Struthio camelus: one gene and its partners. The protein of the gene in region 2 interacts with the protein of the main gene of each other region in a pairwise test. Links are inferred from orthologs where the notes say so. Each region holds a gene or a part of one and is shown on either strand. Other genes may lie near its edges.

Region 1 (6,843 bases), on a different chromosome or scaffold from region 2:
AATGTTTACTCATCTTCTTACCGTGTGAAGATGCCACTATCTTCTTCCTCTCTTCCACTGTGGCTAGTCGCCTCCACAGTGAGGGATATCTCTTGTACAGGGAACCTCGGAACATACGCAGATAGTTCCCCACCTACAAGGAGGAATGGGGAGACACGGCCTGGAAATACGTTCCGTCTAGAAAGATATTTAGCAGAACCCGAAGCAAATTCAGGACTTGGTAATGACAACTGGGACCTCTAGAGAAGATGTATTTGTTTTGGTTTTTTGCCAAAAGGCTCATCATATAGCATATAGCCCAATTTTTGCAGCAATACAGAAAAAGCTTTTATCAGCATTTATTTCACTAGTCTGATAAGAAAAAACTCTCATCCATCGACAATAATCCATTTAATAGGAAAACCCATTCATTTTCATGTATTTTTGAACAGTCTAATGTTTCCTCTACTCCAGTTGCTGTTCCAATGAACAATGCTCATTAGAAATTACATCAAACCAGATACCTAGCTGTCCAACAATATTATTTTTACTTTGAACCTCTGTGCCATCCAGATATCACTTGGATATAGCAAAGCCCAGAGACTTGCCTTGTGTTTTATTTAAAATTCTTTGAACATATAGAACATGAACACTAACAACAATCCTCTCTCAAATTTACTTGGCATCTGTAAAGCAGTTCCATTTTCCCTCGGTGCAAGATTCACACCCACACTGAAAGCTACACCAAGATCTGCTAAAGTACTATTTCTAGACTACAAAACTAAAATTTTAGACTGGCAATATACTTGCGGACTGCCACACAACAAGGTTTGTTTTTCAAGACTCGTTTTGGTCCTAAGATCTAATTTCAGATAATTGTTAATCTTATCTGTTTCTCTACAGGACTCATCAACAGACAGAAATTAGCTTGTACATAAAAAGGCAACTCTCTTTTCCCCTTGCACACATCTGGTATTGCAAACTCGCAGATTTGCTGACTGCAGTTACAGTTCTTCTAGGAAACATTTCACACGCTCTCAAGAGAGTGAGTGATCTTGAGTCCCTGCTCAACATGTACAGTTGACAATTTAAGTTATCCAAGATTTCTTGTCCTACATCTTTTCCTGTTCTTTTCCAACTGTAATCATTTCTCTGCTTCTTGCTTCACTAAGTCCAGCCTTCAAGAAGCAGCCTCTCACCACGAGAGAATACCATTTCTGCAAATACACTGGGGTGCTGAAATTCTACACAAGGCTGAAGAGGCTGCACTGGCTGATGCTGTTGTTATTACTAAGCATAAAGGCCTAGATGTTGACTTAAATCACCTCAGAGCATCTGAAATAATCCCAAATGTTCGAACAAGCACGCTACAAAAATGTCACAAGTTAGAGCATCAGGCCATAAAGCTCAGCAACTCTCAAGCAGAGGGGAGCAGGACATAATACTGGGGCCCAAGGCTGTGACCCACAGAGGAACCAGCCTCTATACTCCGTGATGTACACAGACACGTGTGACTTGTGAGAGCCGCCCTTGCTGGGAGCGCTGACCCCAGCAAAGGTGAGATGCCCCAGCTCGACCGCTGAGAGCCCAAACTGCTGCCCGCGCAACAGCCGCCAGCGCGCGCAGCGGAGAGGACCTGCAGGGCTGGCAGCACCACGCTGGGCAGGATCCCCTCCCGGGGTGCAAGGGGAGACTCCTAGGCCTCTCCTGCGCGAGCCTCACCACGAGCTCCCATGGCACAGACTTCCCCCTCCGGGAGCCCTCATGTCACTTCCCCCCAGGTGCGAGCAGGCACCCCATAGCCCCTGCCCTACTCTGAGCCCAGCCCTGCCATGCTCCCTCCCCCCAGCCCAGCCCCCTGAGCCCACCCTCCATAGTGCCCCCCAGCCCAGACCCCATAGCTCCCCCCAGCCCTGAGCCCAGACCCCTGAGCCCACCCTCCATAGCTCCTCACAGCCCCCCAGCCCAGACCCCTGAGCCCACCCTCCATAGCTCCCCCCAGCCCTGAGCCCAGACCCCCTGAGCCCACCCTCCATAGCTCCTCGCAGCCCCCCAGCCCAGACCCCTGAGCCCACCCTCCATAGCTCCCCCCAGCCCTGAGCCCAGACCCCTGAGCCCACCCTCCATAGCTCCCCCCAGCCCTGAGCCCAGACCCCTGAGCCCACCCTCCATAGCTCCCCCCAGCCCTGAGCCCAGACCCCTGAGCCCACCCTCCATAGCTCCCCGCAGCCCCTCAGCCCATCCCCCATAGCTCCCCCCAGCCCTGAGCCTAGACCCCCCCAGCCCATCCCCCATAGCTCCCCCCAGCCCTGAGCCTAGACCCCCCCCAGCCCATCCCCCATAGCTCCCCCCAGCCCAGCCCCCCATAGCTCTCTACAGACTCTCCACAGCCCAGCCCCCCCATGACTCCCCCTGAGCTCAGGACTCCCCCACGGCTCCCCACTCCCCCCAGCCGGGGACCCCCTATAGATTCCTACAGCCCACCTCCCTCTCCAAACCCAACCCCCCCCCCGAGCTCCGGACCCCTATAGCTCCCCAGAGCGGCCCCTCCGAGCTCAGCCCCCCCCAGCTCCCCACAACCCCCCCCCCGAGTCCGGCCACCTCCATAACTTCCCCCTGGGCCCCCCGGGCCTCCACCGAGCCCGGCGCCCCCCACCCCCCGACCATCCCCCCAACCCACCCCTATACCTCCCCTGACATCCCCCCGCCCCCCCCAGGGCCGAGTCCCGCCCTGCCCCGCCCGGGCCATTGTGCGCGGGGCCGCGCGTCCCGCCGCACCTCGGAGCCGATCATGTAGAACTCGCCGTCCTCCTCCAGCTGGAACTTGACGGGCTTCTGCCCGAAGGTCTTGCTCAGCGCCATCATCATCATCGTGGCGGCGGCGCGGGGCGGCGGCGGCAGCGCCGCGGTCCTGAGCGGGGCGAGCGCGAGAGCCGGCGGCAGCGGCGGCGGCAACGACGAGCAGCGCCGCGGCCTAGTCCGAGCGCCGCCTCGCGCATGCGCCGGGGCGCCCCGCCCCCGCCGGCCGGGCCTTAAAGGCGCCGCGCGCGGCGAAAGAGGCCGCGCGCGGCCGTTGCCGCCTCACCGCGAGGGGAGGGCGGTCCCTGAGGAGGGGGTGGGGCGGCGGCGGCAGCCGTTAACGGTCGCGCGTTGAGGTAACGCTCCGCCGCGGGAGCCGGTGGCGAGGCAGGGCGAGGCAGGCGGCGCTTGGGCAGGAGGCCGGTTTATTGGTACAGCACAGTACACAAATATATACACAGTATATATCGCGGGGGTCGTGCGCGTCGTGCAAGCGCGGAGCGGCCGGGCCGGGGGCTTCCCCGCGCCGTCCTCGGCCCCCGGGCGGCGCGGAGCTGAACGGCTGTCTTCCTTTCGTCCCCCAGGGAGGAGGGGGCGGTGAGGCGCGTGAGTGGGTCGCGAGTTTGAAAGGAAGAGACCCTTTCCCTTTTTTTTTTTTTTTTCTTTCCTCCCCATACTGCTGTGTAGCATGTGCAAAGAGCTGAACTGAGGCTTGTGCATTGTCGGAATGGTGTCCGGATGGACCTGTCTGCTGGAAATAGTGAGTGGGACGAGACCCATCAGTGCGGTAATGAGCAACCTAATACCAGGAACCTAACTTAAAAAGAACATACGGAGCAATAGGGCAGTGACCAGCACTGAAACCTAGCGTCTTGGAAGGAAGGAGGCACATTGTCTATTTACAAAACAGTATAAAATTCTAACGCATACTAGTGATACAACATAAAACCAAGAGTAGAGCTGTGACAGGGTATTGGTATTCACCATTGCAGCTGTGGTGAAGTGACCCTGGCAACATGGCTACACGTCTGAATTTCTCCATAGGCAGTCAGTGTCCGTAAAACTCCCTGGCTAAGGGTGAGGAAGGCATCTCAGTGGAATCCTTCCTCTGAGGCCAATGTCTGGAACAGCAAATGGGATGCTACTGTGAGCAATGTAAACATAGGAAATACCACCAGATCAGTTTAACATGATAGGGTCCAGGTTAATTAGGAAAGCCTGATCCCATTTCAGGCTTGCTCAAAGGCTTTTGGGATGCCATTGTTGGAAGAGCTTGGCCACTTTAGCAGTTTAGTGGCTGCTCTGTTTGTAGAGAATGTGCCAGACACTTTATTTTGGAGGCTGCTGGAACTGGAGAGGAGCAACCTTTGTCACTTGTGACAGGCATCAGTTGTATCAGATGCTGAGCCTTAAAGGAAGCCAGGAGTGGCAGCGAGAACCCTGTGTCTGTGTGGCTGCTGGAGATAAAGGAGATGAGAGGGAAATGTGGAGGACGTGAGCATCCCCCTCTTCATCGGAAGGAGTTGGAGGAAGGTGTGCAGCTGAAGAAGTCCTGGCTGATCTGGCGTGGGTAACCCTCCAGCACTTTCACCTGGACTGGGTCAAATTTCCAGTAATCTTGGCCTCTCAGGAAATAGGCAAAACCTGTAGATGGGAGATAAAGGGTTAGGAAAGACAAGGCCCACACAGCTCAGCTCTTTCCTAGCATTTTGTTTTGCTGATGCACCACAGCACATGGGATGTGGAGTACTAAAAGAGAGCCTGGATTCAAGTGAAATGAATCTAGCTGCATCTTCAGCCTTTTCCAGATTTGTGACTTGCACTGTTCTTTCACATGGCTTTAGTTTTGATGGAAGAGCAAACAGGATGGATTTTATTTTACATATTGGGTGATTTTAAATATGCTGTGCCAGTGTAGTAGCCTAGCCCTGGAAGGGCAGAGGGAGTTTAGGATCTGAACAGGACCGATGGAAGGGAGTTTGTGAAGACCTGCTAAAGAGTATCTGTTACCGTAGGGAAATTTCTCTGGGATTTTAGGTCATTACTGGAAGCACCAGTGAGTTATTCCACCACATCCTTTGGGAGAGAGGGAGTTGCACAGCCGTCATCCCAAGCACCCAGTGTATCTGTGGCACTGCATGGGACACCTCTGGGAGGACTAGCTAATACTGGAAGCAGCCTGCTCATTCAGGACAGCTACCTAGGCTGAAATGTGGGCAGCGGTTCTGGTGACATCTCATCTCTTCCTCTGTGGGAAGTGGTAGCAGCTGGGCAAGACTCCATGAATATTTCTTTGTGAGAAGTTTGAATTCTCTCTATCAGATGCATAGCTGTTAACTAATTTTTGCAATTAATAATTACAAGGCTTGCTACTTCAGTGAGAGAAGCCTCAGTTCCCTCCCCACTGGAGGGAGCTGCCTTGCTCTCCATACACTGTATATCATGTGCAATGGCTGGAAAATGTCCATTATTATTAAGCATCTAAATCTGCCCAGTTCTTCCAGCTGGGAAGCGAGGTCAGCCTGAAAGACCACCCCAGAGCAGGCCTTGTCCCTTCTGGCACTGACCAAACTCATCTTGGAAAGCAGCATCAGTCTCCTGAGGGACGCCACGCCAGTCAGCCATGGTCCGAGGGTAGATGTTGTCCACTTGACGGGTATGAGGGTTGAAGCGCCAGTAGTTGCCTCCGCTGAAGATGTAGATCTTGTTCTTCTCAGCCCCCCACACCAAAGCTGCCTGGACAGGGGAAGCAGGGAGGCCCAGCTCCGCAATAGGGGTAGGGCCAGAAACCCGTCTTTCACCTTCATAAATCCAGTACCGAGAGTCTGGCGAGAAGGCAGAAAAGGGAGACAAAGCTCAGAAACTCTTTAGTATCTGATAACTCAGCAGTGAGCTGTGCAACTGGGAGCGGTGCCTTGGCAGAGCTCCCAGGCAAAGGAGAGAGGAGAAATCCCATCACTGTCACAAACACTGTCACTGACAGGCACCTGAAGCCTAGGAGCGCAAGGAGCTGAATTCCCACCTCTCTCCAGCCCAGAGGGTAGGATGAGGAAGACTGCTTTCACAGCTGTCTTTTTTTTCTATTTATGGAAGTTGTAATAAACGATTTGGCTTTGTATTTGAGCTATCCAGCTGCCCAGCCTGTTTTCTCATAGGCTTATCACTGTGGAGAGCCCTGCACGCATGTGGAAGGGCGTATTTCTCTCAAGCTGCTCCAGTCAGCTGGGTCTGGTTGTAGTTTTCAAGTAGGCGTTTGGGCAGTGGATCAAAGCCCTGAGCTTTGAGTTTGCTCTGGTTATGCCGAAGGAGGATCAAAACCCATTGTTGGATAAAACAATTTACAAAGCTGTAGAGATTGACAGGGTGAACGTTGATTCCTTTGACACCTATGCTGTGAAGCCTGGTGCTGTTGGGTGGGAGGAAAGAAGAAAAATGGGTCATCCTCTGACTGGACAGGGGGCATATTGCTTGTATGCCAAATCTGTGCACAGGGTAGAGTGGGAGGGACCTGTACTTACCCTCCAAGCCCTGCTCTTAGAGGAGAACATATGTGAGCATGCACAGGCATAAGGGGGGCATGTGGCTCTGAAGGAGCGAGCTACATAAACCAGCAAGAGGTTGCCAAACTGATAATATTTCCAGTTCAGGTTAAAATGGGAATCTCTATAATTACCCTGCAGCATGTAATACTTTTTCTTTATCTCATTTTAACTCGTGGTAGGAGCCTGCCAATTTTAGCACTGTAAACCCTTGTCTGCAGGTCAGGTGCTAGGTAATCTGCTTATGCAATAACGCTGCCTGCAGAGCTGCTTGGTGCGTTTTCCAGTACTTGATCTCACAGTGCACAGATGGGGCATGCACACACAGGGCAGCCAGGTAGCTATGTAATCCTGCATCCTCTCTGTTAAATTTGCACTGGGAAAGAGCATTAAAGAAAACAGTGAAGCTGAAACAGGGATTGTTGCTGGTCTTGGGCTTCAGAAATGGCTAGGAGGAAGTTTGGCTGTTTCATGAGCGATTGGTTTTTAACCCCTGCAGTGGCTGGAGATGGCCTAGCTCTGCACG
Region 2 (7,193 bases):
CGTCAGCCTCAGTGTCCCCGCTCCACCCCTGGCCCCGCATGCTGCCTGGCCATGGCACTACCTCATCGTGGACCTTCCTCAGGAAGGTGATCTCCTCCTGCAGGGAGCCGACCCTGCGCTCCAGGTCCAGGCGAGCCAATGCGGCAGCGTCGACGTCCTGCCGCAGGAGGGAGGAAGAGGAGAGACAGTGTGATGCCTCACCTGTCCCTGCTGAGCTGGCCCTGAGGATCCTGGCCTGATCCTGCCTGTCCCAGCAATGGCCCTGCCCCAGCCCAGCCCAGCACCTACTGGCTCCCTCCTGCCCAGTCCTGCCTGTTCCCAAGTGTCACGGACCATCCCTGCCTGTCCCGGCCCATCCCCGAGTGTCCCAGGCTGTCCCTGCCCTCCCTGCCTCTAGCCTTGCCTGTCCCTGCCTGTCCCCAAGTGTCACAGACCATCCCTGCCCTTCCCAGTCCATGCCTGAGCACCCCAGACCATCCCTGCCTGTCCCTGAGTGTCCCAGGCCATCCCTGTCCACCCTTGCCTCTTGCCCTGCCTGTCCCCTGCCCTCCCCAGCCCAGTCCTGCTTGTCTCTGCGCGTCCCAGACCGTCCCCTGCCCATCTCTGCCTGTCCCCTGCCCATCCTGAATGTCCCAGCTGGTCCCTGCCCCATGCAGTCTGTCCCAGCCCACCCCTCGCCCCTGCCCCGCTCCCCGGGGCTGGGGGGCAGGATTCGGCCCCTGCCCTCACCTGCCTGTAGGCAGCCAGGGTGCTCTCGGCCTCCAGCCGCAGGGTCACCTCGTCCTGGAGCCTGCACCCGCAGGGAGACCCACCGTTACTCCTCACACAGCCTCGCTCATTAGGCACCATCGCTCATTAGGTGCTGCTGCTCGTTAGGCACTGGTACTCACTTTGCACCGGTGCTCATTAGGCACTGTTACTGGCTACACATTGCTACGTGTTATGTACTGTTACTCGTTAGGCACCGTCACTCACCAGTCATGGTGGCCACGTGCACCTTGGCCCCTCGGCCAGCCCCGCCGCCAACGCTGGCCCCGGCACCTGTGTCAGTGCATGTGCACGGCCCCACACTCCCCGCCACCCCTCCCCGGGCACGTGTTCCCCATGGCCCCCCATGCCACATGCATGTCCCTGGGTCCCCCCCCCCCCCACCCCCCATCAGGCTGGACACGCACCAGCCTCACATCCTCCCGCTCACACCGGCGGGCACGAGGGCCCGGCCTCGGCCGTGCCGCACCACCTGCGCAGACCCAGCTCACCGTGTCACACATGGCCCTTACACGGGGGTCCCCAGGCATGCATGGCCTTGCCCAGGGACCCCAGAGGCTGCTGCAGGGTGCATGTGTCCCGCAGAACTTCCCCTTGGGTTTTCAGGGAGGTTTCAGACCCCCCCCCCCGCTCCCCCCCGCTGCCTCGCATTTCCTGGAGCCAAGCCTGGCCATAGCCACCGCCACGCATGCACGGACATGGACACGGCCATGCGTGCACAGACACACATGCACAGACACGCATGGACACGGACATGCATGCGTGGACACAGCCGTGGATGCACAGACATGCATGCACAGACATGGACACAGCCATGCATGCACAGACACTGACATGGACATGCATGCATGGACACAGACACACATGCACGGGCATGGGCACAGCTGTGCATGGATGGACATGCATGCCTGGACATGGACACAAACACGCATGGAGAGATACAGGCATGGCTGTGCACACATGGACATGGTCATGCATGCATGGCCCCAGCCTCAGCTGCTAGCACACACCCAAACCAGTGCTGCTTCCAGCCGCACGCACACCCGCACCCAGCAGACACACCTGTGTGTACACATAGGGCCGAGCACCCACGATGCAGCTCAGTTAGAAATAGTCAGACTTGGAGGTTGGCCCCATTGCAGTGGGCTAGCGCTGTGTCCCACAATGGGACCCAGGTGTCTGGGTACTCCAGCTTGCGTACTGCACCCTGTGTCCCCTCCATGTGTGTGCCCGGAGCCCCGTAAAATCCCAGCTCATCCCACATCCCTTGGTGGACACCATGGTCTTCCTCAGGGGCAGCCTGGTTCCCATCACCACCATGGTCCCCAGGGTCATCCTGGTCCCCATCACCACCCTGGTCCCCGTGGTCACCCTGATCCCCATCCCAGTGACCACCCTACTCCCTGGGGCCATCCTGGTCCCCATTATCACACAGGTCCTTAGGGTCACCCTGGTCCCCATCCCCACCCTGGTCCCCAGGGACACACTCATCCTGGTGGCCACCTTGATCTCAGTCCTAGGGGCAGCCCTGGTCCCTGGGACAACCCTGGTCTCCATCACAATCCTGGTTCTAGTGGTTACCCTCATCCCCAAGGCCACCCTGATCCCCTCACCACCCTCATCTTGATGACCACCTTTGTCCCCATCACCCCCCTGGTTCCCATCATCCCCCCTGTGCCTGGGGCCACCCTGCCCCCCAGGGCTACTCCGAGCAGGGCAACACCTTACTTTTGCCGGAGGCCACCGAGGTCCTCAGCAAGGTTGTCCCGCTCGATCTCCAGGCGGGCCTTGGCGGTGGCGAGCTGCTCCACATGGCGCCGCAGGTCGCGCAGCTCCTCCTGGTAGACATCGGCCAGCCGCGAAGGCTCCTGGTCCCGCGCCTGATTGAGCTCCACCACCAGCACCTTGTTCTGCTGCTCCAGGAGCCGGACCTTCTCAATGTAGCTGGCGAAGCGGTCATTGAGCTCCATCATCTCCACCTTCTCATTGGTGCGCGTCTCCCTGAACTCCGAGTTGAGTGCGTCAGCCAACGAGAAGTCCATCTTGCTTGGCCCCAGGCGGGAGCCGGAGCGGAGGCCAAGGTGGACGCTCCTGGCCCGGGCAGTGGCGAGCCGGGCTGGGGAGCTGACGGGGGGCCCCCAGCGCACAGGGACAGCCCGGGGTGCCGGGGCGGCGACGGTGCCTGCGGGGCCGAAGCGGCGCCCGTAGGAGGACAGCCGCTGGCTCTCCATGGCGCGGGGTGGCTGCGCGGGGCCCGGCCAGGGGGTTTTATGCAGAGGGGCTGGCGGGGGGGCCAGCAGGCACTGAGGCGAGCACAAATCCCGGCCTTTGTGGTGCCTGGCGGGGAGGGACGCAGGCTGGCACCCTGCCCAAGCGCCGCGGCACGGCCCAGCAGCTCCACCGGCCCCACTGGGGCTCTGCGGGTACCCGCGGGAGCCAGGCAGATGGAGCCCCCGGGGTGCTGCAGGCAGAGCAGTGCCACGGCCCCGCAAGCCCACGTGCACGCTGCAGCTGGGTGCCGCTGCAAGGGGCTCAGGTGTAGCCGTGCCCAGGGGTCGAAAGTTGCCACGAAACTGCCGGCCATATGTGCTCATACAGCTGTGCACATGCATGCCTGTGCCCCCACACACGTGTGCACGCACAGCTGTGCGCATGCATGTCTCTCCCTCCATGTACATGTGCGCACATATGTGCATGCACAGCTATGTACATGCATGCCTGTCCCTGCATACACACACGTGCACATACGTGGCTGCCAGCCCCATTCAGGCAGGTTTGAAGGAAGTTTGGCCATGCGGAGAAGAAGCTAATTAAGATAGACTTTTAATTAAGTGTCTATTGGAACCCTCCAAAGCTGGTTCCACCCCAGCGGGTCTGCAAGAGCAGCGCAAACTCATAGCCCTGGCCAGGACTCCTGGGTCCCATTCCCAGCTCGGTGCAGCAATGGGGGAGCACGGGAAACTTTGGGGCTTCATGTCCTATCCTAGCAAAAAAAAAAAAAAAAAAAAAGGCAGAATTTGAGATTTCAAGAGAGCAGGCAGCCCGCTGGGATCCCTGCTTCTGCTGCCCCGAGGCCCCGAGGATGGCTAACGGGGGAGCCCTTCGTTAAACCCACCATCCTGGGGCGGGGGGTATGCCGAGACGCCAGCACCTCCGCCATCACACTGCTCTGAGCGGGCACACGCGTGTGCACGGCCAGGGCAAAGCCCCGGGTACCATGGGGATCTGTCAGCACCGCCGGCGACAGGGCGGCCCCATCCCCGCAGGGTGCTCATCTGTGCACCAAGTCGGGGTTATTTGTCCCCTTTTCCAATTGCGGGAACGTAAGGAGGGGCTGGGGCCCCCACAGCCCTGGCTCGCCTCCCGGCCCCCAGGCACGTGGCCGAGGGCCAGAGGCTTTCCCAGCGTGGAGAGCGCCAGAGTTGTGTGAAAGGGGCTTTGTGCACTGTGGGGCAGCGAGCGGCGCCCGGGAACAGGGGCGCCGAGGGGACCCGACCACTCCGGCATAGCAATGAGGGTGCCTTTATGCCAGGCTGGCGCGGGGACGCAGAGCTGCTCACCACCGGTAAACTCGGGGCAGCACAATGAGGCCGGATCCCGGGGTTTTCCCCAGCTTGCGGTTGCTGGGCAGGATTTGGGGGGCGATGGGCACATGGCCACCGGGAGCCACGTCCCCTCCGAGTCGCAGCATGGTGGGGGACATCCTGGGCGGTATCTGGCCCCTCCAGGCTGGTGGGGATTGGGGAGCAGAGCAAGGGGCGAGGAGGCTTTGGGGACACGCATGGTGGCTTAGGGGGAGCAGCGGCCAGCAGGAGCCCTGAGAGGTGGCTGGGACAGAGCCACCGAGGGTGGCTGACCCCAGGCACATTGATGGGGGACAGCAGGGTCTCTTGTGCACTCGTGGGGACGCTGCAGTGACGGGGACAGGCCTCGCTGGCTGGCAGCTAGGTGGCAGCCGATGGCCGGGAAAGGCTCCCTGTCCACACTGGTGCCGAGAGCTGCTGGTGGGCCGTGGCCTGGCCACCAGGGATGGGCTGGCTGCCCCAGGCTGCCTGCTGCCGCCATGTCCTGGGCTATGTCCTGTGGCCGTGTCCCTGGGGACTATGTCCCATGGCTGTGGCCGGAGAGGACAATCTCATCCTTCCAGCCTGGCAGCCCATGGTCCTGGCAGGGCAGAGCAGGGGACGGCGCTGAGATCGGGAAGCCAGCATTGGTGGCCGGCTTCCCAGCAGAGGCTGCAGCGGGGACAGGAGCGGGGCTGGATGCAGGATGCTCCCGGGGGCCAGCACCCATACTGGCACGCCAGGACGCCTGGGTCCTGCCACCAGACCTTGTGCAGGGGGGCTGCAGCCCTCGGGAACCAGAAGCAGGAATTAAATCACAGCAACTCACTCCCCATCAAAGCTCCTCATCCGTGAGGCTAGCTTGGGGTCTCACGCTCTAATGGACGTAAAACCACCCAGCAGGGTCCCTAGGTACCTCGAGCCGAATTTCAGCACGAGAGCACCCTGTCCTGAAGCCAAAGGGACATGCGGCCTGGGGAACCTGCAGCCCTCGCTCTCGCCGCCACCGCACCAGCATGGAGGGAGGGCTGCTTGGTGCAGGGAGGCAAGGCGGGCGCCGGATCTTCGGGGCACTGAGGAAGTCTCCGCTAATCTCCCCTGATACTTATTTTCTCCTGGCTCCTACGCAGCCAGGATCAAAGCATTGACGCCTTTTGCAAAAAGCTGTCACTCCCAGCGGCTGTGGGGAGGCAGATCTGGGCTCTCCCCCCACCCCCAGCCTCCTCTTAATGAGACAAATGAAGAGGAGAAAGCTGGAAGTTTTAATTATAAGCTTCCAGCCTCCAAGAATACAAAGGCGAGCACCCACTGCTGCAAGGCAGCTCTCCGCGCCAGAGCTGGGCAAGCGAAGTAGGTCAGGAGGAGCCGGTCACCCCCAAGCCCCAGGGGAGTAGCTTGCAAGCAGCTCCACCGCACACCCGGGGCCAGCTTGCGGCAGGAGCGCAGGGGCCAGGGCACGGGGGAGTGCGCTGAGCGCCCCAGCCCGGCTCAGACCTTGCATCCCTCTTCCCTGCACCCGTTCGGCAGTTTGGCCGGCTCCGAGGCTTTGTGGGAGGAAGTCGCCTTCAACGCGGGTCACAGGGACCCAGATGCATCGTGGCACCCAGGGACCAAGCTCTGGCTAGAAAAATAGGATCCAGCGTCATTTCGTCCTCTGCCAGGGCTGGAAGGAGAGGAAAGCAGCTAACAGTGGGCTGCCCCGTTCACAGGCCACTGGAGCAGCCCAAGGCAGGTCCTTGATGGCTTCAGGCCCCAGTGCGGTACCCAATGTAGCACAGAAGGGCAGGGAATCACCACGGTGCAGAGGGGAGAGCCGCAGTGCCCAGGCAGAGATGCTGGGGTTGGCAGCTGGCCAGAGCTAGAGATAAGGGAGCCCCTAGGGCAAGAGTAGGGATGGGTAGACAGGAATGGCAGGAGGGGGTTTTTGCAGGGGGAAAGTGGTGCAGAACAGCTCTCCGCAGCCATCAAGCATAGTGGCAAGCGGCCTATGTCTCCCCTCACCCACTCCACAGGACATGGAGCAAACCACCTGTCCCTTCCAAGGCACAACAGAGGGGCAAAAGCCACTTAAGGGAGCCACCAACGTGAAGATGGGAAGCCACGATGGGCTGGGCAGGGCCGAGATCCCCCCTGCGGCAGCTCTCAGGGGAGCAAAGGCCTGTCCAGGGCCCGCTTAGGTGGGAGCTGATACCCAACCATTGCTTCCTGCGTGAGGCGGAGGCAAGGAGGCCAGAAGCAACATCCACACGTCTCCCCGCACCCCTCTGGTTTTAAACTAAAAGATTTATTAAAAGCATGTTATTTCTTAGCATCACCCATCTGTTAGCACTCGACACCCCGGCGCAGATTACAGAGGGGCTGAGAGGGAACAGCAATAATCCATCTGCTACAAAAACATACAGAGCTGAGCAGAGGGAAGGTACGTGTAATCCAGGACAACGCCAGGACCCCAGGGATGGGAACTGGGAGGTGTTTGGCCAGTTTTAGGGGGGATCAGGTTGGACATGGGGCAGCAGAAGGCTGGGAACAAGCTCAGGGTTGAAGGCTCTGCACTCCTTCCCTTGTATGAAGCAGAGGAAAAGGGGAAGATCAGTCCCCTCACCTCAAGGAAGGAGCTGGAGGGATGTGATGGGGGTGGTCTCAGAGAAGGGCAAATTTTGGCACCTGAGTTTGGGCCCCTGGGAGGGCCAGGCCACAGGGAGGGGTCCTGGACTTTGCAGGTAATCAGCATAAGAACTTCATGGCCTGGGGTTTGGGAGCAGCAGAGGCACTGCTGAGCACTGCTAGCTCTTTCACACTCCTCTTGCTGCCTTTCTGGCCAAGACTGCCCGAACAATGTTCTGAGGATTGAAACAGAGAGGA
Region 3 (7,562 bases), on a different chromosome or scaffold from region 2:
AATTTGCTTAATCAAACACTGCCAAGACTTCAAAGAATGGACTTTTCATTTCATATGAACAGGTCAAACGAGCTGCAATCGCAGCTCTACTGCTATGAACTAGCAATTCCCATATGTAAGAGATTACACGCTTGATTATTCTGAAGATGCTACGATACTGCTAAAGGGGAAAAATGACATTCACCTTTGCACTATACTTCCAATTCTTTATTAGACTGACCTATGCCACTACTGACTTTTGCAGCAATTTCTGTACTTAAAAGTAAAACCACAAAAACCTCAAAGCACCAACCGGTATAGAAAAAGGGAGCAGCTTTTCTACCGACAAATACAGGTCAATGTGATAGGACTTCAATGCCCCAATCACTGTACTGCCTACCATTCAACAGATCAAGTTCAGATCTGTCATGTTCTGAGCCTCCTCTAAGAGATCTCAAGAATATCCATGACAAAAAACTTCCGTCAACAATGAAACACTGCAAGATTGCAGTAGAATTAATCCCTCCTCGCTACATGACTTTTGGGGAGATTACTCTCCACACAGTTGCATGCAATCACAAGTCCATCCATCTTCAGCACAAAACGCAAGGCTACTTTTCTGGACGCAATTTGGACATAATTGTGGAATAATAAGTACTCTTAGAGGTAAAACTAGCAATGCTGTTAATTATACTCATTTACCTTTTTCCATTTTTTAAGAGGAAAAAAAAAAAGACAGCTTTGTGTATCGAGAGTTTATGCAATTTTGGTAAGAGACACCACGAGTGTGGGGAGGGTTCCCTGGTAGATTTGTTACAAGGACACTCGGGTCTACTAAATCCAGAAGGCCTTCAAGTTGGAACTCTTCTCAAGAATAACCCCTCACTGTGGTTTCTCAGTCAATACCAAAAGGCCCAAAACCTATCTCCAGTTGGCTGGGGACCTCCACCCCCCACCTCCACCTCCACCCCCCACCCCCATTTTCATACTGTGACCCACACTGCACTTCACAGCCGACGCTCATAACGCAGTTTTGTTCTTTCCTTCTAGCCCCCCTTGAAAGCTCTCCATCGTCATGATGTTTGGATGAACTGGCAACAGTCAGGGTCCTGCTGCGTGGTGGCCAGAATCCATCAGGCTTACCAATAGTGTCTCATTCATCTTTACTCACCATCTGTCTGTATCCTATTATTTTAGGCTATTCTTAGATTGTACGCTGTCTGGGGCAAGAACCATTTTTTTTTCTGTTTTGTATCTGCACAAAACAGCACAGCACTGTCCTCCTCTGTGGTATCTATTAAAACAATACAAGTGGAGCTGCTGGATATGGATTTTATAATCCTCTGCTTATAGGAAGAACGCTCAAGAAGGTCAAAGAAAGAGAGAACAAAAAAAAAAAAAAACCACTCATATCTCCCTCTTCCTACCAGTTTCAGCCTTCCAAGACTCCTGTCTCTTTTTCCAGAAAAATCAGTTTCCCATTTTTTAAAAAAGCATAAATTTTAAAACATACATGTCAGATTACAGCAGTAATAAAATATTTTAACATATTTTTCTTTACAAATGCAAGTGACGTTCATTCAACATATGGAATGTTACTACTTACATAATAAAGTATACGTATGCAATTTCACTGTAACTAACACGTTTTCTAAGTGACCTAACACATGCAAAATCCTCTCTCTCTGAAAGAAGGATGGTTATGCACCAATTTATAAGAAACAGTTTGAGCTTCTTTACTGTGACATTTTACCTAGTCCCTTGTCACTGGTTAAATAGTCTTTTCCTTCTTCACCGATAAAATAATCTAATCACAGCTCTTATCCCTACTTGCCCTTTGGAAACACACAAGCACTTTCCACTTAGGGGACTAAAAACAAAAATAAAACTGGAAACCTGTGCGCATCTTTCAGCACTGACACCACAAATCTACGTCCCCCTACTTTCTTCTCTATGCATCCAGGCCGTTCTTAGGAGCTAACTTCCGCTAATTTTGTTATCGTTTTGGGGTTTTGTTTGACGGGGTTTTCAGGGGGAACTCTCTTAATTTGGCCTCGGTACCGCTATCCAAGTAAACAGACTAAACCTGGTTTCTCTTCCCAGCAAAGAGTCCTCCCACCAACCCTACCTCTCGGGGGTCACTGCAAAATCATACGCTGCAGTAACAACTTCTGCTCAGTCTCTCTGCCCCTAGTTCAGTATCTTTCCTACTGTACCAAGCTTTCATCCTGCACTCATCACTTGGCAGCTGCCCACCCGTTTGAATACCGCAGCCCTGCTTGCAAAGGGAAACATATGAACCGACAGGCAGATCCCAACTAAAAATTATGTCAGCGTGCTGTAGACTAACAAGCGCAAATACTAAATTTAAAGGGGTCGAATATCCCCTCGGTTTATCACGTCATGTCGCTGCTGTCACCAAAGGAGAGGGAAAGGTGGGAAGGGAACGGGAGAGGGAAAAAATCTGAAATAAACATCCAGCAGCACGCTCACGAAGTGGAAGGACTTTAATTTAGAAACCAACGAAACGTTTAAACGCCGTGTCACGCCGGGGTAGCCCATTCTGGAGGCGAACCCGCCTTCCCCCTCCTCGGGCGGCAGCAGCGGCAGCCGGTGCCACCCGCCCGCCGCCAGCATCGCCGGGGGGGGGGGGGGGGGACACGGGACGACGGCTCGACCCCGCCGCCCCCCCGGGGAGCTGCGGCGGCCCCCGACAAACGGCGGTGAGGGCCGCCGCCACCCTGCCAAGCGGGGGGCTGCCCCAACGCCCGCCCCTCTCCCCTCACAGCGCCTCGCCGCCCGCGCGGCGACCGTTAGGCTGCGCGCGGCGACCGTTAGGCTGCGCCCGGCCCGGCCCGCCCCGCCGCACCTGGATGTAGTTGGTCTCGCAGTACTCGGCCACCCGCTCGAGGTTCGTGTAGCTGTCGAACAGGGCCCGGCGCCCCCCCGGGATCTCCTCCTCCAGCAGCATCTGCAGCTCCGCCATCTTCACATCCTCTCCCCTCCCCTCCCCTCCGCCCGCCCGCCCGTCCCGCTGCCGCCCGCCCGTCCCGCTACCCGCCGCCCGGGCCCGGCCTCGCGCCGCGGGCAGGCAGCGCGCGAGACCCCCACCGCGCCGCGGGGGCGGGGCGCGGCTGGGCGGCGCCTCCTGCGCATGCGCCCGCCCCCTCCCCTCTCCCCCTCCCCCCGCCCGCCCACTCGAGCCCACTTCCGGGCCCCGCCGGGCGACATCCGGGAGGCGCGGGGGTGCACCGGGAAACCCCTTCCCCCGTCGTGCCGCGGGGGACGCGACGGCGGGGGGAACGAGAAGCGAGGGCGCCAAGGGGCTGGGGGGGGGAGGGAGGGGGGGGGAAGAACGCGGCGCGCGGCGACCGTTGGGCTCGGGCGACCGTTGGGCCGGGGCGTCTCCGTCCTCGCCTCGACGGGTGCGAAGCGCTCACAGCCGGCTGGAGGTAGAAGACGAGGGCCTGGGTTTGTGTCACCCCCCCGCCGGGGTGGGCGCAGCTGTTGGCCAGGGTCGGCACGACCTGAAAAAAAAAAAACACGTGCTGGTTTCACTCACGGACTTCGGCAGCGTGGGGTTAATGAGGCAACTGAGGTGCTTCAGATCAGGAATATGCTGAAATAGACTGGCCTGGAACTTTCTCCCCTCAAGTTTGTGACTTGGGGACCCTTAAAAATAGCATTTGTTTGCTAAGCGCTTCTAATCTGCATTTTCATTTTATGAAGCCTTAGCCTTTTTTATCATTTTGCATTAATTTACTTAACAGCAACTTGCTAGCAGCACTCTTCCAGAGCCTAGGTCTAATTCCACATCCACTGATATCAAGAGAAGCTTTGTTTTTGAATACAATGTGTGCTAGGGTCAGACCCTTATGCTTTTAACGTAACTGCTGCTCAGTTCTTCTGATCAGCAGAGGAAGAACAAAATGTTTCTTTTGTGCAGATTCCATGTGAAAAGCAGCTATTGTACAGGGGCAAGAGGAAGGGTAAATTCTCAGCCTCCAAGTAGTCAGCTTTTCAACTTTAACAGAGGAAAGTGTATAATCCAAGGTCAGCTGAAACAGAGAGAAAGGACAGCCATGGCTAAAGCAGAGTGCTGAAGTCATGAGTTAGGAGGTCTGTTTGGTCAGTTCCTGGCTTTAACACTGACTTCCTTTATGTCCTAGGCAAGTCCCTCAGTATCTCTAAAACTGTGATGAAAATGCCTACCCTTAGAACAATGTTGAAGAGTTGAATGCCCTACTGAATTCTCTCAGCAAGCACCTAACAGCAACCTTTCTCCTACATAGGAAGGGATCAGCACCCTCAGCTAAAGCCTCCCAGCTTTCTCAAGGGAGGTCATTTCCCTCTTGGAAATGAATTAGCAGCTGTGGTTACTCATCTCATGCTCCCATGAGGTTCCACAGAGCCCCTGCTGCCACTGCAGGGCAGCCCTGGGCTATATGACATCCCTCACTTTGACATGATAGCATGACACTTGGTAGACACCAAGTAGAGAAGATCCAGGGCTAGTGCACCAACCTGGCATTGTGGGAAGGGTTATTCTGCATTGAACGCTGGCCCAGAGGCATCCATCTATCCTCCAGGGGATTTCTAGACTTACAGATAGATCCCAAACACTTGGTGGGGTCAGTCAACAAACATGCAGTCTTTGGGGCCAGCCCTTTAAGTTTCTTCCCTTAAAAGAGAAACGAGATAGAAATCCCTGCCCTGAGGGATGTCTGCCTGAAGACATCTTCCTCTTAGCTTGCAAAGGTTCTCCCATGTGAAGGATGAGTCAGGCTCAGCGTTCGTTAACACTGCTTTGAAAATCTCATGTGCAAAGCATTTTTCTCTCATTTTTTCTCCTGTGGGTTAAAATTTACAACTTCAGCTACTTAATTGTGTGTTTCAATTTTTCTTTAGGCAGTTGTGCCGAGACACATTCATATTTTGCAGCTGTAGTAGTCTAATTTCACAGAGAGATTTTGGGATCACAAAACACCCTGACAGGGACCCTGTGCCATGACATGCACTTGGGGGTGGGGGGGGGAGTCATTCCTCAACAGCGTGCATGCTTCAGGCAGCTGCGCTGCTGTGGTGTTAGGCCTCCCAGTGCTCTCCGCAGGGGATTCTGGTGCTCGCTGCCCTAAAATTATATGGACTGATGAACTGAGTGCTGTGTAGTCTTGTTCTTGGTACCCTCTCCTTCAAGGTTTGAAAAACATGAGTTACACCTCCAAAAATGTTGATCATCTTGTAATCAAAGAATAAACTCTCAGTTCCTCTAGTGATTGCTACCCACCTTTTGAGAGAGCTGAACCAACCCGTTGCTGCAGAGGCTCAGGGGAGAAAAGTCAGCCGAGATCAACCCGCAAGGTGCTGCTGTACGGTGTGGAGCTCCGAGCCTCGTCCCACGCCTCCAAGAGTCCACCGTTGCCAGGCCTCAGCCTTCCCTTGGGCCTCCTGCCAATGAGTAACGCTTTCACACTGAGGTACCGGGCCTCGTGCTCCCTCCTCACGCTTGCTTCAGGTTGGACTCCCCTGGGTCGCACCTGGCCCTGCTGTGGCTCCGGTAGTTACTCGCACCCACGTTCCCAGGGCACTGCATTTGTGCCAGGCTGGAAGCAAGCTGAGGCTTCCCTTCCCTCGTTCATTTACTTCTCAGGTGTCAAGTCAAGCTGTCATGTGGCACCTCCCCACGGTTGTAAACCTGCTCCTTCTCTTGGCAAAAGGAGAAAGCTGTCAAGATGTTAAGGGGAAGATTTTCCAAAGAGGCTGTTATGTGTTTTAACTCAAATTAGTAGCACCAGGTTGCAGGGAGGGGGAACTGTTAATTGTGTCATCTCTCTGCGCTTTTGGGTGTCTCCAGGGCCTGCATTCCGTGGAAACCTGCAAGGGCCCATCTGCCGCCAGCTCCACGCTCCGCGTCAGCAGACGTTTTCACAGGGAGCTCCCGTCCATGGGTCAGGCGCCTCTTGACCTCTCAGCGGCCCTGCCAGTGATTTTTAGGGTATAATGAAACGGACCATCTGAGATATGTGCGCACGCCCCTGTTCACCACAGTAGCTGGTCTACCCTGCCTCCATAATTAGGTGCTTGCTATCGCAGCATGTTCACTTTTTTTTTTTTTTTTTTTTTTTACCAGAGTAGTCTTTGATTGATTTAAATTTATATATGAAGAGCCCTGCTGTCAATGCAATGACCATCCTATAATCCTCTCTACACGTACAAAAAATAATTGGAAATAGTGTTTAAATTAGACCAACTGAATCCAACTACCACTTCCCTAAATTTACATAAATGAGTTCCCATCTGTCAAGTGAAGTGATGTGCTAAAGTAATTTTAAGCTTTTTAACTCCCCCAGCCTTAGTTGCACGATTACACACTTTGACTTTTCCAAGTTGTTTTCTTTTTAATGCTTTTGTGCAACATTTTCCTCCTTAGCACAATAGCTTTAAGGCTGGGAAGCAAATGCATTTTCCTCCTAAACATACTGTGCAATCACCATACAATAGAAAGGTAAGCACCTAGTGGGAGACACTCAACTGGAGGTGGAGCCCGAAAGCACAGGGAGACCAGTATGCTGCTGAGTTCCCCCCCACACATTATGTTTTACCTCTGCCAGTCACCCAAGGGAGCGACTGCTCACAAAAACTTGCAGAGACGAGTAAATTGTTTCATCGTGTGCAATCAATCTCACAGCTGGGCACCTTGTGCGTGTCCCACAGTTTGAATAACCAATTTTTAATTAGAGAAAAGTGGTAATGGAGTCGCTCAAAGGCCATCGCACATTTTTGGCACCACAGTGAGACATCACAATGAACGCATGCATTTACAAGCCTCTTCCATTTTCTTTCCTATACGGAAACCTGAACAGCACAGTCACTACATCTGGGTTATGTGAGCTAACATCCCATTAGACAGATGACCAGGTCAGATCGCTGGCATACTGTAGCAGGTTTTCTGTACTCTTGTGTAAATAGCTCTGCTCTAGTTTTAAGAGGTTCGCATTTCTGAGACTTTTGCCCTTAACAAAAAACTTCTCACATTTTGTAAAAAGTGGAAAGAAAAGCTGAAAATCCCCATGCTTGCTGCATCACATGGAGCCTAACAAATTTACAGCTGCGCAAAGGACAAAGAACAGCTGGACACTGACGCTGAACATATGGTCACGCACACTGACCATATGCATAGACCCAGGCCCTCTTACTCAGCCATCAGGAAACATTTACAGGGGGCATGGGGGTGGGAGGAGAAATCGGGGGATTGAAGAAAATAGTTTGTAGCTTATGTAACTCCACTCTCCCAGCAAAGACATTGCTGAGCCATCCTGCCCGCTCCAGATAATGCCTGCATACACCTCTGGCTGGATGGCAGATCTTTGCTAGTCTAATAATCCAAAGCACTTGAAGCTAATAGCAGAGTGAGATGCATTTAACTCCCAAGGTTATTCCCTAGTGTCAGGGGTGCCCTCAAGGCACGGCACAAAACGCACCTCCTATACATCCAACACTTGCGACAAATGGTGTCAGGCTCCTCAGGCGTCTTAAACACTCAGCCTCCAGTCTTCACTGTAAAACAGACTGAAACCCCCCGA
Region 4 (7,303 bases), on a different chromosome or scaffold from region 2:
AAAAAAACAATTTCCCATTTGCAATTTTTTCCTACATAAAACTTCAGGGAGTGCTGTCAAGAAGAGGTTAGGTTTTTGGTTTGTCTGTTTTCCGCTTTGTCCTTCTTTTTCTGATGGCAAGGATTTAGATTTAGTTTCATCCTAAAACCTCAGAACATGTTTTTTCTAATAGTCTTCAACAAAGCTGAAGAACAGCATCCAAACCTATAAGAATGGGTGGAACAGACAGTTAGGACCTACAAGGCTACAGTATCATCAAGGACTTCGAGACATCCTAACAGTGGAACTGTAGCCAGTGCGCTCAAGATATTGTGCTTTCTAGTACCAACTCAAACCCTGGCAAAACCACCTTCACCACCTCTTACTTCACATGCTCTGGACGACTAAGCGTTCACATCAGCCACTTCAACCTTTTCCTCTATGACAGCTGCTTTATTTCATTGCTGTAGCATTTCTCCAACACTACTGCAACCAAAACCAATTCCTGAGCTTTACTGTGTCTCCCTGAACTTAAACGGGCATGATGACAGGTTAAAGCTACCTGCAAATGAGCTTTTTCAGAGATTGCAGCATAATTAATATCACAATCCCGTTACTATAACATTAAACACTTTTGTGATGTTTTTGTATCTATGAGTCAAAATTAACAGTATTTTACAGATACGAACAAAAGAAGTGAAATCACCCACAGGTATTCGGGAAGGGAAATTACACCAAAAATTTGCAAACATCTTCACAGAAGAACTTTATTTCATATTAAACTGCTGACGTATGTTGAAGGAAATAAAAAGAAGGAATATGGTTATTTAATAAACTACTGCTACTGTAGTAGTAAAAGGTTTTTAAAATGAGAGGTAAAATGAGTAAAAGGTTTTTAAAATTGTCCCAGAGAGCTTGCAGTACAAGCAGCAGCAAGTGGGAAGAAAATGTGAGATAGGAAAATGGCAGCCTACATAACATTCCCAGTTAAAAGTATTTTCTGAAGACCCAAGAGGTTGAACTGAGCAAAGCAGGAGTCCTAGTAACAACTTAAATGTAGCGAAAAATGCAAAACAAAATGAAAAGTAAAACTTTCACAGGATGGTACTATTTACTATTACCAAGTCAAAGGAATTTCCTTTAACTGCTTGTCAAAAGGCGGAAAAGATTCAAGGTTGTAATGCACCCTTCCTACAGCACAGAATCAGTGTAATTACATCCCACTCAACAAATAAGTTACTTAAGGGAAATCCTATCGCCTACTATATTCCACTAGAACGCTCCTAGATCCCTAACTGTGCAAGGGAGATACCCACACAACATATTACTTCTAGTCTTCTCTCTGACTTTACCTTGAGGAAGAACATCGCTACCCTGTAGGCCGCTTGGGATATTCAGGCCACTTTCCAATTCCTTTTTTTTCTGAAAACAGTATTGTCCAGTAAGATTTGTTTGCTGCTTACTTTAGTCTTCCTTCTCTTGAAAGTCCGTCACCACAACTTTAGACTTTTTCCTTAACAGTTCTCCTCTTACTCTTTTCTTCACTTTTCTTTCTATGTAGTTATCTCCTAGTCCTTAAACTTCAAAATAAATCATGCAACGGAACAAACATGACATTTACTACTTTATCATTCACTCTACTTGGATGCACTCTACATGCATACCAAGAATCAGCAGCTTACAGCACAAGTATCAAAGATAGCATATGAGCAGGCTTCAAATAAAATCTAACATAGCTCTCATAGTAGCAGCAACTTGACAAAAACATCTATGAGAGGGAGACTTCCAACTCTTGGCTCACGCTACAGCAAGATGTAACCAATCAGTTAATATCTTGGCTCCACGAAAACAGGCTCTCCCATTTCTGTCCAAGTTGTTACCTACCCATTATATTACCTTCTGAAGAAAAAATAAATTATAAGCACATACATTTCCCTAGGAAGTCATCAAGCTGGTGTTATATCTGTTGCTTCACTTGGTGGCTATTCTGTCTATATAAACTCTCTGAAGTTATACTACCTTGTATTTGTATAGTGCCAAGTACAACAAGCTCTGTTTTCTGGCTAGCTCTCAAGTATTCCTAAGCATGATTAAGAACAGCAACTACTTGGTTTCAACAAATCTTAAAATAAACATTATACAGCGCAATCTGATCTTGTAAAAGTGGGATGTGAACGGGACTTTCTATAAAATGAGAAGGACAGGGCAGTTCAATGCATCATGGCACCAAGCAATAGAGTTTTCTCTGAAGAGCTGCATTTCAACATTATTTATTAAGAAAGCCATCGAGAGGAACAGGGATATTCAGTGCAATCTGTTACCCAAGGTATTCCAAGTTAACTTTTTACACAGAGCTTTCCATAGGCTCCAGACGTCATGCAAAACGCTCCTTTACTATTCTTATACTCATGAACTTCTTTGATTTCAAAGAGGAAATGAAAGTGTTCTGGCAAAGTTGCTGCTGTTCACTGACTTGCCTAATTTTCTTATAAACATTGCCTTTAAATGTAAGAATTGGCATACACGATAAGTGAAATACCGAACGGATCAATACCACTGTAAATGGCAAAACACATAAACTGAGGCCGCTGCCAATGAAAAGCTTTTCGTCACTGCCGGTGATGCGGTCCAGCCCCCCTTTTTGGCCAGACAGCACAAGGCTCTCCCTAGGGGAGAAGGGGCTCGAGCTCTCCCCCCGGAGCCCCCGGCCGCCGTGACCGGGCCCGGACGCGGGCAGGGCCGCCCTCGGGGCCGGGCAGAAGGAGGCCGCCGGCCGAGGCCTCCCCTCGCCGCGGGTACGCCACGGCACAGCTGCCCGGAGGGAGGAGAGGCTCTGCCCGGCAAGGGGGGAGAGGCCGGGGGTCCCACCTGTGCCAGCAGCGCCTCCCGTTCCCGCCGCCTCTGCTCCTTGCGCGCCGCCACCCGCGCCTCGCCCTCCAGCTCCGACGCCATGGCCCGGCCGTAAAGCAGCCGCCGGGCAGCTTCACCGCACGCACGGCGCTGTCGTAAACAACGGCTGGGAGCTGCGCGGGCGAGGGGCGGTGCACTGGGGTTGGGGCGGGGAGAGGGGCGGGGATTCCGGGGCGAGGGGCGGGGCGCTGAGGCGGGGGCGGGGCGATGGGGCAGTGGAACTGGGGCGGGGCGCTGCGGCGGGGGCGGGGCGAGGGGCAGTGGAACTGGGGCGGGGCGCTGCGGCGGGGGCGGGGCGAGGGGCGTGGCAGCACGGATGATCCGGGAAAAAAAAAAAGAATAAAAAAAGGGTTTCTAAGCGAAAGCGCCGCAGGAAGCGGGCAGCCCGCCCGCGGGCCAGGCGCGTTGCTGGCACCGCGCGAAAGGTTTCCGTAGGGCAGGGTTAGGGCTGTGTAAGGGCCTGCGGCTGTCTCGGTGCTGCCCTGCTGCTAGGGCAAACCGCCATTTTCCCCCTGCGAGAAAAGGGCAGTTCCGTTCGGAGCTGCCACATCCGGCAGCCCGAGAGAGAGAGGGGCTGCCGCACCCCCCTGTGCCCAGGTGCAGCCTGGGCTGAGCACCTATTCCCAATTAGCGTGCATACAGCACGTGCATATATATGAATATATACAATATATGAACGTATATGAACGTGGCCACAGAGGTGAACGCCGACGGACAACAGCACTCGCGCAAACAAGCAGCGCTGATGGCCTCATGCTGTTCCACTCACCAGCTCATCAGAATGAAAGCCTATTAGTGGAAAGCTCATATATATACATAAACATACGATGTGGATCCCTCCAGCAGCTGCCCGTAGACACTCAGCCTTTCCAGGAGCTGCCCCCAGGATCCCCGCTGTCCCCAGTTGCTGGTGCCGGGACATGTGAGTGCCCGAGGCCCGCAGCCCTGCTCCAGACCTCATACTCAAACCTACAGACGTACACACACACACACACACACACACACACACACACACACACACACACACACACACACCAACTTCTAGGAGACGTTCCACAGCCTGCCAGGTCAATGTCACAGCAAATATGTCATGTCATGGCACACACAGCTTAGTGGGCGCTTGACTCACAGGGCCATGAATACAGAGTATTGGTATGGGAAGGCCGAATTCCAGCCTTAGGTGCTGCTGCTGCCCAAAAGGACTCTACCTGAGCCTCGGACTTCTCATCTGGAGCCCAGATTAAGGAGAACTGTGCAAGGGAAAGATGTGGCTCAACAGACTCCCCCAGACTCCACATAGCGCCTGATGCTCCCCGTTGCTACGATCCGTCTTCAGAACTATCTTCCAGCCACTTTCTCTTCCATTTGCAGCCAGTTTGGGGCTTCCATATGGCTAACATATGGCTTCTATAGCTGGCAGGTTGCCAATGCTCAATACCTGTCTGGACAGGAGAAGCGCAACTTTAAAAAATGTGTTCAAGTACATACAAGTTGCAGTTGGCCAATAGTATATGACAGGGGCTGCTAAATCTCAGGTGAAGCAAGTATTTAACTGACACACAATTTCTCTGGGACAAGATCAAATCATTACTGTGTGTCTGCCACCAAACGTAATCACAGTTGCCAAATAATAGTAACATTATTTGGGTTAAAGTCTGAGCAAAATGTTGGGGTAATTCATTAGCTATTTGCATTGGATAGTATGTTTTAAAAGTGGTAACGCTGACTGAATAATCATCTCCATGATGGTATTCAATGTGTAAATCATATTTGCATCTTTGTTCACTTTATGCTATGACAATTAGCAGCATCTTCTGAAGAAAAACCTGTCGTAGATCACCACTAGGCAGAGAATCATAACTGATAGAGCTTAATAGCCATTGCATGAAAAAGTAGCACATCAGCCCCCTTTAGGAAGCAATTAACAAAGTAAGTGGGCGGATACAAGGGACATTCCAGCAGCTTTGACAAACGCTGTGCTCATTCCTTAGCTTTATACAGCAAAAGACTCTCAACTGTGGCTGAGAGAGGAGAAGCAAGAACAGCGCAGGTCTTGCCCAGAAAGGAAAGCCTGTGCTCATCGTGATGTATGCTCTTTACTGATACACTGGGTCTTTTCCCTCCCAGATTTTACCACTTCCTCCAGGCAGCCAGCAGTTCAGGTGCGTACTCCCTAACCCTCTTCATGCGCAGTCAGGTATATTGGCTTCATGGGCTTATATTTAAGCTAAAGAGCAAATTGTTAGTCCGTGAGCCAAACCAACCAGTTCTGACTGAAACAATTTAAGAAGTGTTTGGAAGAACTGCATGAGAAGAGAAAGGCCAGTAACTATGACACGAGTGTGGTTTGCAACTGCTGTGGACAATAGCTTCTTCTACCAGCAGCTGCAGTCAGAACAGGAAATGTGTTTTCCACAACCTCAAGTTACAGACAAAGAAGAGAGCTTGAAACAGTGTGTAAGCTTTTGCAATATTCAGTATTATTCTTGATATTCATAACCCTCTGCATCATGTAATAAGGTAATACTGTAAATTTTCATTTCAATTCAAGTTTCCAATATTCATGATTTTAGAGGAGAAACAATGATACAAATGCACTCTAGAAGGGCAAAAATTGAAAAGCAATTAAAATTCAAAAGCTATTTTTAAAATAGAATCATTCTGCCATCTTGTGATTTTTGAGAGATGACTTTAATGTATGGGGTCAACAGTTAGGAAAGGGATGACAATTTTACCTCATTTCCTCTCCTCATCCAAGAAAAGGGTTTTCTCAGAGGAAGCAGAGTAAAATGAAACTTCAGTCTCATTTATTTTAACATATTAGTATTTCTGAGACTTGCTCACATGCTCAGAAATCTGCAGTGAACCTAGAGAACAAGTCTTTGGTATACAGCTTGTAATGGTCAGCAGGACACCTCTGCTCAGTCATCTTATTCACACTGCCAAAATTAAACATACTAATAGAACAATAATGTTCCAGAGTTACTGCTCTTTCCTGAACCCCCACAGAGAGGCACTGACCTTGCAGAGTGAATTACTATTTCCCATGTAACAACACATTTTACACTTTCCCTCAAATAAGCTGCACGGTCAAGCTAGCGATTCTCCAGCGGACCTGTGTTATAAACCTCCATGCTGCTAACTTTCACTGCTTGCCTTTAGGGCTCCATTTGACGTTTTATTTTTATATGAAAAAGGCTGGAAAAAATCCTCTCCACTCAGTGCGATTCTGCACAGTTTCCTTTAAGCAAAGGGCAGTGTTTCACTCGGGAAAGGAGTTCTTTGAGAGCACGAAACTTTTTTTGCCGCAGCGGTGAAGCTGCAAGGTAATGGATAAATCCAGCTTACTGCTAGGGGGAGGTTCTTATCTGGATTTTAACACCATTCTGAAGCACAATATCTAACAGGATGCTGGGGAGCGGATGGAGGGCAGGTTCACATAAGTCAGGATGGACTGACTTTCAGTCAGTTCTCATTCTGTTCATTTTTCAAACCACCCAGTTTTCACTTGCCGTTTCTACTGCGTAGTCATTTATATTAGGTTCTGAGGGATCACTTAGACTGGGATGGACATTTTCAATGGCTCAGTTAAGAAACAGAAAACGCAGTCCCTTGAGAAATTATGGAAAAGAACAAAGAATGAAAAAAGTATGGACAAATGGAAATTTTTTTATGGAAGGAAGTATTTTTCTTTTATAGAAATGTTACTAAGTTTCCTCAGCAGAGATTGAAAGCAACTGTGCCACAAAATGACAGAATGCCTTGCCCAAAAATCAATGCAGTAGCAACATCCAGGTGATTGGTTTCTCTTGCCTGAATTGTGCAATGAGGGCCTGAATTGAAAAACCAGACAAATTTCTACTGTCCATCAAAAAGAGCGGTCCCAGCAGCAACAAAAGAGCCGCTGTGACATTGATGATACTGACAGCCTGCCTTGGAAAAGAGACCCACTTTACAGGGAAGATGAATGAGGGGAGTGTAAGGGATCGAAGAATGATTTCACCCATTGTTCAATATTCAATAGCAAAACATGAGTTGTCTGCTCCCAAGCAACTGCTATTTTGTTAATTTGCTCAGCTACTTTGAAAACAAGTTCTCTCTCCAACTATGGTCAGAAAGAGCAGGGGGAAGAGGTTTAGAAATACATCCATTTTGTCTCTCCCCACCCCAGGTGCATGACGGTAATAGCAAGAGATGTTCTTTGGGAAATTCTCTAGTGACAACTACTGACTAATAAATGTTTTGTGAGGAAGTGCAAATGGTACCGTTACACATGCGAAACGATCATTTGTTCAGCACGTTTCTTGTGGGGCTTTTGCATGCTTTTTTTTCTTTTTGTGAGTCGAAAACAAAAGATTTTATCAGAATAGGAAACACACACTGAAGAAAGCCGCTGCTGTGCCCCGAGCAAGGC

The links.
Region 1: the proteins of GFAP (region 2) and SMARCB1 interact in binary tests that used the Homo sapiens proteins (3 or more experiments, as listed by UniProt). The link is inferred for Struthio camelus from reciprocal best matches to the Homo sapiens genes GFAP and SMARCB1.
Region 3: the proteins of GFAP (region 2) and ABI2 interact in binary tests that used the Homo sapiens proteins (3 or more experiments, as listed by UniProt). The link is inferred for Struthio camelus from reciprocal best matches to the Homo sapiens genes GFAP and ABI2.
Region 4: the proteins of GFAP (region 2) and CWF19L2 interact in binary tests that used the Homo sapiens proteins (3 or more experiments, as listed by UniProt). The link is inferred for Struthio camelus from reciprocal best matches to the Homo sapiens genes GFAP and CWF19L2.

What each region holds. Positions count from the first base shown.
Region 1 is NC_090958.1:9,548,328-9,555,170, forward strand, and holds the start of SMARCB1 (SWI/SNF-related matrix-associated actin-dependent regulator of chromatin subfamily B member 1), read right to left. Parts: upstream 3,007-6,843; 5' UTR 2,851-3,006; coding exon 2,758-2,850; intron 134-2,757; coding exon 22-133; intron 1-21. Other genes in the region: MMP11 (stromelysin-3), read right to left, coding at 4,289-4,422, 5,346-5,603.
Region 2 is NC_090966.1:709,041-716,233, reverse strand, and holds the start of GFAP (glial fibrillary acidic protein), read right to left. Parts: upstream 3,019-7,193; 5' UTR 3,000-3,018; coding exon 2,497-2,999; intron 791-2,496; coding exon 730-790; intron 158-729; coding exon 62-157; intron 1-61.
Region 3 is NC_090947.1:7,860,971-7,868,532, reverse strand, and holds the start of ABI2 (abl interactor 2), read right to left. Parts: upstream 3,007-7,562; 5' UTR 2,966-3,006; coding exon 2,849-2,965; intron 1-2,848. UniProt on the Homo sapiens protein: Regulator of actin cytoskeleton dynamics underlying cell motility and adhesion. Functions as a component of the WAVE complex, which activates actin nucleating machinery Arp2/3 to drive lamellipodia formation.
Region 4 is NC_090942.1:205,989,738-205,997,040, reverse strand, and holds the start of CWF19L2 (CWF19-like protein 2), read right to left. Parts: upstream 3,001-7,303; 5' UTR 2,932-3,000; coding exon 2,848-2,931; intron 1-2,847.